Linked DNA regions of Nothobranchius furzeri. The protein of the gene in region 2 interacts with the protein of the main gene of each other region in a pairwise test. Links are inferred from orthologs where the notes say so. Each region holds a gene or a part of one and is shown on either strand. Other genes may lie near its edges.

What was found. The genes of interacting proteins can lie anywhere in the genome.
Region 1: the proteins of pex3 (region 2) and pex16 interact in binary tests that used the Homo sapiens proteins (3 or more experiments, as listed by UniProt). The link is inferred for Nothobranchius furzeri from reciprocal best matches to the Homo sapiens genes PEX3 and PEX16.

What each region holds. Positions count from the first base shown.
Region 1 is NC_091749.1:65,432,456-65,439,018, forward strand, and holds the start of pex16 (peroxisomal biogenesis factor 16), read right to left. Parts: upstream 3,575-6,563; 5' UTR 3,266-3,574; coding exon 3,133-3,265; intron 2,812-3,132; coding exon 2,716-2,811; intron 2,062-2,715; coding exon 1,985-2,061; intron 1,891-1,984; coding exon 1,757-1,890; intron 1,491-1,756; coding exon 1,390-1,490; intron 1,297-1,389; coding exon 1,216-1,296; intron 877-1,215; coding exon 733-876; intron 330-732; coding exon 257-329; intron 1-256. Other genes in the region: cars1 (cysteine--tRNA ligase, cytoplasmic), read left to right, coding at 3,728-3,749, 4,982-5,209. UniProt on the Homo sapiens protein: Required for peroxisome membrane biogenesis. May play a role in early stages of peroxisome assembly. Can recruit other peroxisomal proteins, such as PEX3 and PMP34, to de novo peroxisomes derived from the endoplasmic reticulum (ER).
Region 2 is NC_091742.1:15,093,097-15,099,621, forward strand, and holds the start of pex3 (peroxisomal biogenesis factor 3), read right to left. Parts: upstream 4,102-6,525; 5' UTR 3,962-4,101; coding exon 3,889-3,961; intron 1,911-3,888; coding exon 1,779-1,910; intron 1,711-1,778; coding exon 1,629-1,710; intron 1,514-1,628; coding exon 1,470-1,513; intron 1,383-1,469; coding exon 1,261-1,382; intron 1,167-1,260; coding exon 1,100-1,166; intron 1,016-1,099; coding exon 961-1,015; intron 650-960; coding exon 511-649; intron 438-510; coding exon 367-437; intron 296-366; coding exon 173-295; intron 37-172; coding exon 1-36. Other genes in the region: adat2 (tRNA-specific adenosine deaminase 2), read left to right, coding at 4,495-4,590, 4,805-4,909, 5,045-5,195, 5,261-5,367, 5,430-5,502, 5,679-5,707. UniProt on the Homo sapiens protein: Involved in peroxisome biosynthesis and integrity. Assembles membrane vesicles before the matrix proteins are translocated. As a docking factor for PEX19, is necessary for the import of peroxisomal membrane proteins in the peroxisomes.

The DNA.
Region 1 (6,563 bases), on a different chromosome or scaffold from region 2:
AGGAACGGGTCGGATATAAAATTAAAAAAAAACATTTCCATGTATTTTAAAGTAAACAGGTGATTCCCACAAAACTGGGTTAACATCCTGACTGGAATCTCGTGGCACATGGGAGCTGAAATATCCTGATTAAGTTGTTTTAAAATCTAAAACAGACTTTTCTAAACTAACGTTTCTCAAATGTCACAACAGACATATTTATTTAGTAAATCAGGTTTTTGTTTAATTCTGAATCCAGTAAACGGGGTTAGCTCACCTGGACAGTTCCAGGAATCCAGAGACGAGCCACGGCTTCCAGGACTGTTTCCCACAGAGTCCCAGACAAAGGACTGCAGTCAGGAAGACCCAATTTAAGGAAAACCGGTGTTAAATGTCTACTAAACTTTAATTTTTGTGTTTTTAATTTAAAATATTTAGTTTTATAAAAGACAAAATGGAATCGTCATTTAAAGAATTTCACCCTAACTGGTTGTGATGTTCTGAGAAAATGTGTTTGAAATCAGAATAAAAGGAGATTAAATCTACAAAACAGACAGTAAAATGCTGATTCAGCATCTACAGGTAAAAAAAAACCTGATTAAAAGCCTGTTACTGTCTGTGAAACACTTGAAGAAAGCCGGACCACGGCGCCCCCTTCTGGCTGGAGCCATTTAAATTCTGAGTAACACGTCAGGAGGAAACATTCCCATCCGGGAGAACGTTCTGGAGCAGGATCAACATCTGGAAGGATACGGTGAACGAGAGGCCGGCTGATGTACACGGACTCGGCCACAGTCTCCTGGAGGCCCAGTTCTGTTGGTGTACTGTTCTCTGCCAAACTGCTCCTCCTGTTCCTCTGGACCGGAGCTCCCCACAGACGGTTCTGGAGAGACGGTGCTGACCCAGTGAATGGAGACAGAAGGAGGTTAATCTGACGGTTCTTCCCACTTTCTGCCAAACTTCAGATCTGTGGGAAAGCTCAGTTTCTTTAGATTTTACATCCATGAAGAAAATATGAAGATCTGAGGAGGATCGGGACTTCCGGACCAGATCGGGAGGTTTACAGGACACTTTAACAGCAAAAATTTGTTTTTGTTTATTTTAATAAAATAAAATAAAAAATAAACACGAAATAAGTAGAACTTCCTTTTGTGACTTAAAAATCCTTTTGTTCTGGATAATAGCCGACCAGCTTAAACCTTCTAGGATGATTAAACTTAAAATCTGATTTCTCACCGCTGCCAAGTGGCCTGATGACTCGCCCTGACCTTTGACCCACGAAGCAAGAGTCCTCCTGCTGCTCACTGTTACTTTCAGCTGTGCAGAAAACACTTATTCATACATCCGTCATTGTTAAGACTCAACGGATACAGACAGGTCCTTTATTATTAAAAAAAAGGCTGATATAACCTTCACCAACACATTCTGCACTCCTGTCCAGAGGGATTATGGGAGGTGAAGTCCCGAGGCCAGATTTATACACCAGAAGAAGAACGAGGCGGAAAACTGTCCTGAGAAAAAAGGAAACGGAGAGATTTAGCAGCTACTGGAATGTTTTATCAGTCCTTAAAAGACTTTTACAGCAGGGTTGGGGCTTAAAGCATCCCGACATACTAAATGGAGAAACCCATCAGCTGATTCAGCAAAAAGGCTAAAACTCAAGATGTTTCCAGAGAGGACAAACATTCATGTTTCTCCTGATCAGAACAAACCGTCCTCATGAGCCTGAAATGAAGTCAAAAATGTTCTTTACTGTGACAGAAAAGGGGGGGCATACTTAAAAATCTGAATGAGTCCAATCACCAGCCAACGGCCGACTTCCCCCCACAGCTTGAAGGCTCCCATTTCCAGGAAAACCTGCACGTACTCGAGCACCGACAGCCAGTTTAGTAGTCTCTGCTGAGACAGGGACTAGAGACACACATGGTTGGAGGGGGCTTTAAATCGTCCTAAACTCTGGTAAGATCAGGATTTATTCCACAACTGGACGTGTTTCTAGGCTAACCTTGGTGAGGGAACATCTCAGTCCTCGGCGCAGGATGCTGTCATTAAACAGCACCAGCAGGTTGGAGGCAGAATACACTGAAAATGACAAAACCAGGACAAAAATTAGAGACACGATCACAACCATCCCAGGACAAAGCTGTGAAATGTAATGGTCACCCCCTCACCTGGGACATCAGAATAGTTTGTTCTTTGTGATTTTCTTGGTTTTTGCTGCAGCTTCTGAAGCTTAGCTGATTACTTTTATTTCCTTGATGAGACTAGATTTAAAAGTCCTTTAGCCGGGTGATATTTTACCTGGTAACTGGGAACACAAACCCTCCCAGACTTTTATTCAAAAGCTTAAAAGCAGACTTGTGAGCTCCGTTCATTAAACGTGACCAAATCCAGCAAATATGACAGCAGAAGCGTGACCCAGATCCTGGTAACAGACTCACATTTATTCATCAGAACCAGTCAGAACCAGGTAGTCTGATGCTTTATGTCTGGTACCAGAGCCTTTTATGGCTCACAGCTACACTGATACTTCAATCCAGAATAAACAATGACTTTGCTTTTTTTTTGTTCAGATGAAAAGAAAAAAAATCACAACAAATGTTTTTCACAATTTGGAATTTTCAGACATTTTTAAAGTTTGGGCCTTTAAAAAAAGGGATTTACCACCTGAAGCAACAGTTTGCTGATGAGACAAATGATAAAAAGCAGGAAGAATGACTGAATCGTTTTACTCACCAAGTTCAGAAATCTCATGAGAATCTGCAAACCGCCCTGGAATACAGAAAGGTGTAAACATTGAAGCAGCTGCGTGCAGGACTAAACCTGCTGTTTCTGAAAGGAAAATGAAACTCAGCTCTGGGTAGGGTCACAGTTCAAGGTTACATCAACAATACGCTGAGCCACTAATTTATTTGTTTTTTATATTCAGGAGAGACAGGTAAACATTTTGTTTTTATTGTGTGGTTTTTATTGTATTATTTACTTAACAACCTAACAAGAAGCAATGGCGACGCGCAGATTCATTAGAACATCAAACCTAAGGAGAAGTCCAGTTATGTCTGCTTGGAAGGAAAATACAAACAAACGAGGACTAGACTGGAGCTTTCCGATCGAAACTGGACACATCTTAATCTTTTTTATGAGCAGACTTACCTGCGATCAGGTAGGAGACTGTCCTCACGGTGCTCTCCAGATGTGCAGTGGCAGCTGGATTCCTCCTCACATAGTCCGTGTAGCGCTCATATAGACGACTCGCAGCGTCTATGTACTCCTTAAAATGAGACATGTCAGCTCTAGCTGAAGCATTAAGTCCTCATTTAGTTACCAACGTTCATAAATTATCCACAACCAGTTAATGAGCTCAGCTCGACTTGTTTTTGAAAAGTAAACAAACTTCCGCTTCCTCTACTTCTTCTTTTTTAGGAATTCACGACTCTTTCCGTTCTGAAAAGGTTTACTGCCCCTTGTTGGATTTAATACTCAACTACATCCGTTCTCGAGTTTATATTAGTTAAATAAAGTTCTAATATTTTCATCAAAAAACTTAATTTTGATTTATCAAACTTTCAAAAATATTTGAAGAATAATTTCAGCTTTTCCACCTACATTTTTGTGGTGACCGTAAAGCACACATACACAACAGACGAACGCTGCCCTTTAAAATCAAAAGCAAAGGTACGCGTGCTAGTTCCGGTCCGGGCGGGCACGTTATTGTTGCATCAGCATCCTCTCATTTAACACAGTGGTCATGTCGAGCTCAGGAGAGACAGGTAAACATTTTGTTTTTATTGTGTGGTTTTTATTTTATTATATATTTAGTTAACAACCTAACAAGTAGCAATGGCGTTTCCGTTATATGTTGAACTGTCACAAGAAATTAGCGCCAGCTACATCTGTTAGCGAGCAGCTAAAGGCAGTTCTGATGACAAACCAAAGTCCCTTCAACTATTAGACGATTCTAGATTCAAGCTTATGGGGTTTAATCTTCAAAGCACAGATGACTCGGGAGTTATACGACCTTTTAACATGTGAGGACAGTTTTAATATCGGCATATTTAGTTTAACAAAAAAATGAAGCAAATATGTGATGCGCTTATTTATTGATGACCATGTTTATATTACGGTATTACATGTATATATTATATTACGGTGGAAGAAGAGTAAAAAAACGAAAAAAAAATATACACAGCCATACAGATGACTAAATAGTTTGTTTTATTTTATTTTCAATTATAAAAGAATGTCTTTTAGCCTGCATCCTTATTGCATCCTGATAAATCAGAATAACAATTTCATCCTTTTTGTCTCTTTGTGTTAGATTATCTTTTATTTTCCTTTTAGGTTTTGTTTTCCATGTTTTTCTTTCATTTTCTTCTTTAGTTGTTAGTTTCTGTTTGACTCATCTCAGGTGTGGCAGAAAATGCCATCAGTTTGTTTCAGTTTCATTCTGAGTAGTGGTCCTGGATGGTTGTGTTTGCAGCATCATTTTCCTTATTGTGCATAGTTATTTGTGCATAGTTGTGTGATCTTTATTTTATCAGAGCTTTTTTGCTGGTCATTTAGTGTCACATCATTTTACCTGTTCTAGTGATTAATTTTGTTTAGTTTCTCCTTCCAGGTTAAATTAGAGGCTGGTTTGAAGCTTGTATTGGTTAGATTCGTCAGGACAGTCGCGTTTATTCTGCAGGTTTCACCCAGAAGTCTTCTTCTTGCTGCTGTCAGTCCGATCAGTCCATTAACTACCTTCTGAGTACCTCAAAGGAACCAAACTGAATGAAAAAGCAGCCGGATTCCAAACTGAAGTATATAAAAAAACCTTCAGCAAGGTTGGAGAACTTTTCTTCTCTAGCTCTCCAGCGTTTCGAAAGCTTGAACCAGGATCTTTGCTCTATATAAACTTATCGATTCCAGGTTTTTAGTTGGGTTGTGTTAGTTATTATCAACAGCATGTTGCTGCTTGGTCGGTAACGATTTGCGAACGTTTGCCCTCTTGTTTCTGCAGCCTTTGAGTTTGGCTTCTTGCTGCAGATAAATGAGGAGGCTGCACTGACAGCAGCCCTGAACGACTACCTCTCCTCACGCAGCTACCTGGCTGGGTTTGGTCCCTCCCAGGCCGACCTGAAAGTCTTTAAGCTCCTCCCCCGGCCCCCCGATCCGCAGCACCTTCACGCTCTGCGCTGGTACAGACACATAGCTGCCCTGCAGCAGGACGACACCACAGAGAGCAGCAGTGAGTAGACGGTTTCCGGCATGAACAGAAGACTGAAGGCCTTCTGAAGCTCATCAGCAGGCATTTTTGCTATTTATTCTTGCAGCAGTTTGTGTGTGAGGCGCCTGTGGCTGAACTCCTGGAAGGATCCGTTCATCACTGCTTAAACAACATAACAGAACACTAAACAAACTGCACTCCTGTGTTGGTTTTAGCTGCAACGCGTAGCTTCAGATCTCAGAAAAGCTGCAGCAAACATTTCTGGATGTTTTTGTGTCTCTTCTCTGCAGCCCAGAGCAGACTGATTAAACCTGCAGAAGTAAATGACAAAATGTAAGAAATCAGTGATTGGATGGTGATTTTTACAAACCAGTATAAATATTGCTAACTGGTAAAGCAGCCCAGTTCTGTGTTCCTTCCCAGCAGTCGGACTTTCCTGTCTTTTTTTAAAGTGACTCAGAGACAAAGTTTTTCTTTGGACTTTTGCTGCTTTTTCTCTGTTTCAGTTTGTGTTTGTGAACATCTTCAGAGGAGAAACCACTTGGTTTGTCTGATACACTTTATGATCTCAGATCTTTTAAAGTGTGTTTCTCTGGAGAGGTCTGGATTAAAAATGGTCCTAATCCTGGTACTGAGGGCTGATCCTGAGCTCTTGTACAGCTCTGGGGTCTCATTTCTCAAACATTGTGTAGAATCCTTACTAAAACCGTACTTAAGCTCTGCAAAAAAATTTACTCACGCCAAGTAGGTTTGTGATCTATCAAACATGGAGTACGCACAGCTGCACGCAATCTCCACTTCATAAATCGGAGACTAACGAGAATGTTTCTCAGCTGCATTTTAGTCACATCCCGCCCTCACCACACCCACTTACTGCCATAAATGGTCAATGCAAAGTGCCTTGTGGATCTCATGCATATACATAAGGTGGCTGTTGCAGCGCTCCGCCAATGACATGGCGACCGTAGATCAAGGCAGATCAAGGAAGCGCAATTTCACAAGCAGAAGTTGAGGTACCTGTGGGTGAGGTGGAGAAATGAAAGGAAGTGCTTTTGCAAAACAAATAATGAAAATCAACGGAGTGGCACAGCGTTGCTGAAGCCGTCAATGTTGTGAGTTCTTCAGAGAGATCTGTTTCAGATATAAAAAAAATGATCCGATCAGGATTCGATCCCCAGACTCCCGGGTGATAGTCACATGCGCTAACCAGTCAGCCAAACAGAGGTCTCCCCTCTACAAGTAGCCAGGGCGGATAATCAATCGGGTCACATTGACAGGACACACACTGTCACAGACGCATGATATTCTGTGTCAGTCTGTCCCCCTGCTGATATTCTGCATTCCGTATTCTGCGCTTCAGGCTGTGTGTGTGTGC
Region 2 (6,525 bases):
ACGATCTTCGCCAGCGGCAGGCTGACCGCAGCCAGACTGGTGGCACATGGAGGAGGGGGTTACTATGGTAACAAGGATATGACCCCGCCCATTTTCATAGAGTTGTCATTTTAAATTCATATTTCTGGTTTGAAAGGGTAAAGTCACAAATCTAGCTCACAACGTTCCTCACCTGTCAGGTGCAGAGTTGGGGGCGGAGTCACCAGGAGGCGGGCGGAAGAACTCAGCCAGGTTGTCAAGGAGAAGAGAGAAAGCTCGGTTCAGACAAATGTTCAGAATGGTGCCGAAGTCCGGACTGAAGTCACAAAACAGGAAGTTAGATCGTTTTTAAACACACAAACAGAAACAACCAGGTGCGGCGCTCACCTGTCCAACATGTCTCTGGTCTCGTTCAACAGTCTGATGGTCATGACGTCGTTCTCGGTTAATCCACACGCCTGAACGGGCGGCACAAACATCACGGTTATTATTCATCAGTGAGCGCCGCCGTGGTCGGGCCTCGCCGCTCACCTGCTCAGCCAGGGCGTTCTCGTCGTCCGCCAGCAGGAAGCGGGACATCGGGCGCTCCGAGTCGGACTCCACCTCGGCTCTGATCCAGCTCAGCTGCTGCTCCAGCTCCAGCAGGGACAAACTCTGCTTCAGAGACACGCTGGACACCAACGGGAGACTCGTCAACTGCTGTTCTACTACGGAGGGCCAGAAGGGCCAAAATCAACAAATAACTCAAATCTGACACGAATGAGACTAAAATATAAAAACATATTTTAAAAACTTTAAGGTTTTGTTTTATGATTCAATAAATAAGACTTTTTAAGTTTAAGACATGTTAAATAAATACTGAATTCTTTATTTTTTATTGTATTGTGGCACTTTTGGCTCTCCGTACACCACAATCATGCGATCACACAAATAAAAATGTGTGACTTTCGGACGTTTTGCAGACAGAAACCTAAAACTCACCTTCCCAGCGAGCGCTGCACGGCCCTCTTCACCACTGTTATTAACTCGTTTAACCCTGGGGAGACGCGCGGAGACGTTACACAACCCACACACACGCTAGGGTCTGAAGTCAATCTGCAGGAGGAGATCTGTCCCCTACCGTCTCCGAGGAGATGCTGGATGCTGGACAAGTACTGCTGCTGGACGTCTGCAGGAGCCAGAGGATTCTGGGTAATAAAAAGCAAACATCAGATCCTCGTTTCTTTCCATTTCCCTGCCGAGCTTCCACACCTGCAGCGCGTGGTGCAGCTCCATCCTCACCGTTATGCTCTTCCCTACAGAGTTATCCAGGTACAGGTAACCTCCGATGATGTTGAGCTGCACTCGAAGGAGAACCACCAGCATGCAAGTGCTGTAGACGGCCACGATGGTGCGGGTGAAGCCTGAAGACCACAAACAACAGATCCTGAGTCTCAGGAGGCCAGAAAAAAAATACTTTAATCAAATGTTCTGCCGAGTTTAAAACTTACTGATGATTTTTAAATCTTCCCAGATCTCCAGTTTATTAGCTGGTCTGGAGGAAAAAGATTTAAACATCTTTATTTAAACACCTAAAACAAGCAAATGTGTATTTTGTGTTAGATAACAGAATAAAGTCTGATGATGGGAACGCTAATGTGTCGTCTGACTTGGTCTTCAGCAGCGCGGTGAGCGTCTCGGAGTTCAGCTGAGCGACGACGGCCTCTCTGAGCGGCGGGAGCATCGACAGAACTGAAACACAGAAACGGTGAGCCTCGCTCCTCAGCTCAGGCCGACCCTAGCCCTTACCCTAACCCTACCGGTCATGTTGCAGGTTCGCTGGTTGCTCTCGAAGTGGAACTGCCGTCTGGCCTGGGCGATGTACTCCGTCGCCTCCTTCTCTTGGATGTCTCTGATCTTCTTTTGGGCATATCTTCCAAAAATGTAAACTCCTGAGAAGGAACCAAATAGGAGGTGAACACAAAAACATGGAGGGCCAGCTGCAGCACCGTGGGGGGATCCGTTATATTCTGATATTTTTTAAACTAAATAGCAAAAGAAGCCATCTGTTATTATTCAGCTTTGAAAGAAAAATACTAAACAGATTTTAACAGGAACCAAACCCGAACCTGGTTCCATAGGAGTTCAGAGAACTGCAGCAGAGAAGAGCTCAGCTGCTCCGGAGCATACAGGTGTGTGTTAATGCTGCAGGTCAGGAAACACTGAACAAGTGTGGCCGGCTTAGAAAGGCTGCAGGAGAAATCCTGAACAAGACTTCTAGAGCAATAGCCTTTGGACCAAAGTGGTGTTTACCCATAATGCACAGCAGAGCCCTCTGATATGGGCTGTATGACCGGTGTCAGAGCTTGGTCAGCATTGCCGGCAGTAAGTCGGGCTCGTTCCCAGGGAGAGTTGGACTCTGCCAAGGCTGCCCTTTGTCACCGATTCTGTTCATAACCTTCATGGACAGGATTTATGGGCGCAGCCAAGGTGTTGAGGATATCCATTATGGTGGCCTGAGGATCAGGTCTCTGCTTTTTGCAGATGATGTGGTCCTGTTGGCTTCATCAGAACGTGATCTTCAGTTTTCGCTGGAGCGGTTTGCAGCTGAGTGTGACGCAGCTGGGATGAGAATCAGCTCCTCTAAATCTGAGACCATGAGAAAATGGTAGAATGCCCTCTCCAGGTCAGGGATGAGGTCCTGCCCCAAGTGGAGGAGTTTGAGTATCTCGGGGTCTTGTTCACAAGTGAGGGAAAACTGGAGCGTGAATAGGCGGATTGGTGCTGCATCTGCAGTGATGCGGCCATTGCACCAGTCTGTCGTGGTGAAGAGAGAGTTGAGTCGGAAGGCGAAGCTCTCTATTTACCGGTCGATCTACGTTCCTACCTTCACCTATGGTCATGAGCTTTGGGTAGTGACAGAAAGAACGAGATCACGGATACAAGCGGCCGAAATGAGTTTTATCCGAAGAGCGGCTGGGCTCTCCCTTAGAGATAGGGTGAGAAGCTCAGTCATTCGGGAGGGGCTCGGAGTAGACCCGCTGCTCCTCCACATCGAGAGGAGCCAGTTGAGGTGGCTCGGGCATCTGGACAGGATGCCTCCTGGACGCCTCCCTGGTGAGGTTTTCCGGGCACGTCCAACCGGGAGGAGGCCTAAAGGTAGACCCAGGACACGGTGGAGGGACTATGTCTCTCACCTGGCCAGGGAACGCCTTGGGATTCCCCCAGAGGAGCTGGCCCAAGTGGCTGGGGAGAGGGAAGTCTGGGCCTCTAGCCTTAGGCTACTGCCCCCGCGACCTGACTCCCGGATAAGCAGATGAAAATGGATGGATGGATGGATGGCACAGCAGAACGTTAGGAGAAACCCAAACCGCTCCCGCTAGCTGTGGACAAGGTGGTGGAGGGGTGATGGTTTGGGCTCCCAGCAAAAATGAGACCATGAAAACCAGACTGGGTAATAAATCTGGACACGGATCCCAAACGCAGCTAGAATCATGTGGCAATGATCAAAGTCCAGACCTCCACCCCCACCGAAAGCTTGTGATGAGACGTTGGGGAGCAAATGGTGCAAATCCCACAACTCATAAGTGGGCCAGAATTCCTCCAGAACCGCGCAAGGCTCACATGATCCTCACATAAAGTTTCACTACAGTGAATCATGTTTACATCAGAGACAGGGAGAAATGTGATGTTGTGCAGCACAGAGATAAAAAATACATATCTGTAAGCATTTTTAGTTTTGACAAATATGACAAAAACATTTTATATTTGAATCGGTAAAGTATTCTAAAGCCGAAAAAAAGATCATCTTAATGTTCCTAATCGCTCTTTAAATAACTTTTAAAATACACATGGTTCATTTTATCACCAAAACTAGTTTTTAAAGGGTTTATTCGTGGTGTCCGGCGTGTGTGGGGACTACCCCCTTACCTCCAACGACTGCTCCGGTGAAAATGAATTTCTTTTTATGGCGTTTTATAAAATTCCAGACAGACGAAAACATCTTCAGGAAAGTAGAACTCCAAAACCCCTCCGCACTTTTATCTCTTGGCTTCACTTTTTAATAAACATTTTAGTGGAAGAGTTTCTGACTGCAGCTCTTAGCTACCAAGCTAACTGTCACAAATTTGCTGATCAAGGGTGTAGCTGAGACATCCGGTTTAGGACTTCAAAATAAAACGCTCTGGGCAACGGAAGTGCAAATGATCATTAGATAATAGAATTGCGAATCCACGTCACATTAAAATAAAGAAACGGTTGTACTAATTAAGTGCTGTTCTATAATCAATGAGAACTATAAAATAATTGGTCCTGGCAAATCTTCCTGACATTTGTGGGAACATTCTACTTCCGGTTTTAGCGCACAATTTGTGAGAAAGGTGATTGGTCGCATCCGAAAGTGGTCCGTTTAATATTATCTTCCCCCACTGTGCTAAGCGCTTCAAATGAGTGACTAAAAGCTGAAAATACGCTCCAAAAACTGAATTTAACTAAATATCTCCAGTTTCAAAGATATTTTACATCACTCCTGACGCCATGGGATCAGAGGAGGGTGAAAATCCTGATTCTTTGGAGCGGTTTTGTCCGACTGATGAGGAAATAGAGAAATGGATGTGCAGCGCTTTTGAAATGGTAATGTCTTCATTCAAATGTAGCGAAGAAACATTTAATTTTTTTAAATAAGTTTTTATGATAAATGATTTTGTAATCATAAGTTGGTATCAACCAAATGAAAACGAACAGGAATTGTTTTGTTTGATTGGCTGAAACGTGTGTTAGATATTTCTGGTTCAGGAGTATAAGGCGCCTGGTGGTGGTGAGCTGAATGTTGAATGTGTTTCTGCAGGCCAGAGATGCTCTGGAGAACGGAGAAGTTCCTGTAGGATGTCTGATGGTTTACAAGGATGAAGTGGTGGGGAGAGGGAGGAATGAAGTCAACGAGACTAAAAATGTAGGAAAAATCTAAACAACCTTTAAAGAGCCTTACAGCAGGATCAGTCAGGACATAAGATCCTGGTGGTCTCCAGGAGCTAAAACTGTGTTGGCTTCATCATGAGACCAGTTCAAAATTTCTGATGGTTTTCAGGCAACTCGTCACGCTGAGATGGTCTCCTTGGACCAGGTCTTGGACTGGTGTCGCCATAGCAACCTGGACACAAAGAGCGTGTGTGAGCAGACTGTCCTGTACGTCACAGTGGAGCCGTGCATCATGTGTGCCGCAGCCCTGCGCCTCGTCAGTATCCTCCCCCGACCTGAGAGTGTGTGTGTGTGTGTGTGTTTGTTGTCCTTAACCAGCTCCCAGATATCCCCGTGGTTGCCTACGGTTGCAGAAACGAGCGTTTTGGGGGGTGCGGATCAGTTCTGGACATTTCCTCTGCAGACCTTCCTCACACTGGGACCACATTTAAGGTGTTTATTCATTTGTGCCACGTTGACCAGCTGCTCACTGTTTTATAAACACGTGTGTTCAGTGTGTTTCAGGCCACAGAGCAGAAGAAGCCATAGAGATGCTCAAAACTTTCTATAAGCAAGAAAATCCAAATGGTAAAATGTTTGATTACTGACCAGCTAATAAACCAATGTTGATGTTACTGAAAAGTTATTTAACTCTTTCTGACAAAAATACCTTTACATCAGAAATCGTTTCAGTTCTGACAACTGATTTATTCCAATTCATTTGCTCAGAGAATTAAAATCAATTATTCTTTTGTCTGTTTCAGCCCCAAAGCCCAAACCAAGGAAGGACTGACCTGAACAAATTGTTTTAATGTGTATTTTATAGATTTTTATTGTAATAAAATCATTTTTATTTCTAGATAATGACTTTTAATGTCTTATTTCCTCATTTCTCCAGTTCCCCAGCATGGGCGCTCTTTACCAGCTGACCTGTAAAACTGAATGAAGAGGAAAACACAGAAACATGAAGCTGCAGTTAAAACTAAATGTCAAAAATCATAAAGTTTAACATTTCTGAGGATTTGGGGGGTTTATTGGTTTGTGGAATCATGGAGGCAGAAGTTTGTAGTGAAACTGCAGATGTAAAACAAACCACTGTGTGTGTGTGTGTTATCCATGGTTCTGATTGGCGACATCAGCTCCAAACGTTTCACGCTGTGATGCAAGATGTCGACCATCAGCACACAGATCGCTCCCACACATCAAGCTGTCACGATGTGTCCACATGCATGCACGCATTGTGTGTGTGTGTGTGTGTGAGAGATACTATTTTAACACCAAAAATAATTGATTTAATAGGGAAAAAGAATCAGCTAATTCTTCCTCTTTCCCTTGCAGCTGATTTCCTAAAAGCTGGAGAAAATCGTCTCCTTCACATACCTAAAGAGAAAATACATTAAAAACATTAAACCTCAATGAAATTGATTAGTTGTGACCAAAAACAAGTTTGACCCATAATTAAACAGCATTTTGCTTTCATTTGACATTTAAAAAAAAAAGAAGTTCATGTGTCCGGAAAATATTTGTGCATTCTTCATTATGATTATTGTTATTATTTTTTGTAAGAAGAAGAATATGCTAATATGAAAGTAGTTGATAAACACTGCATTT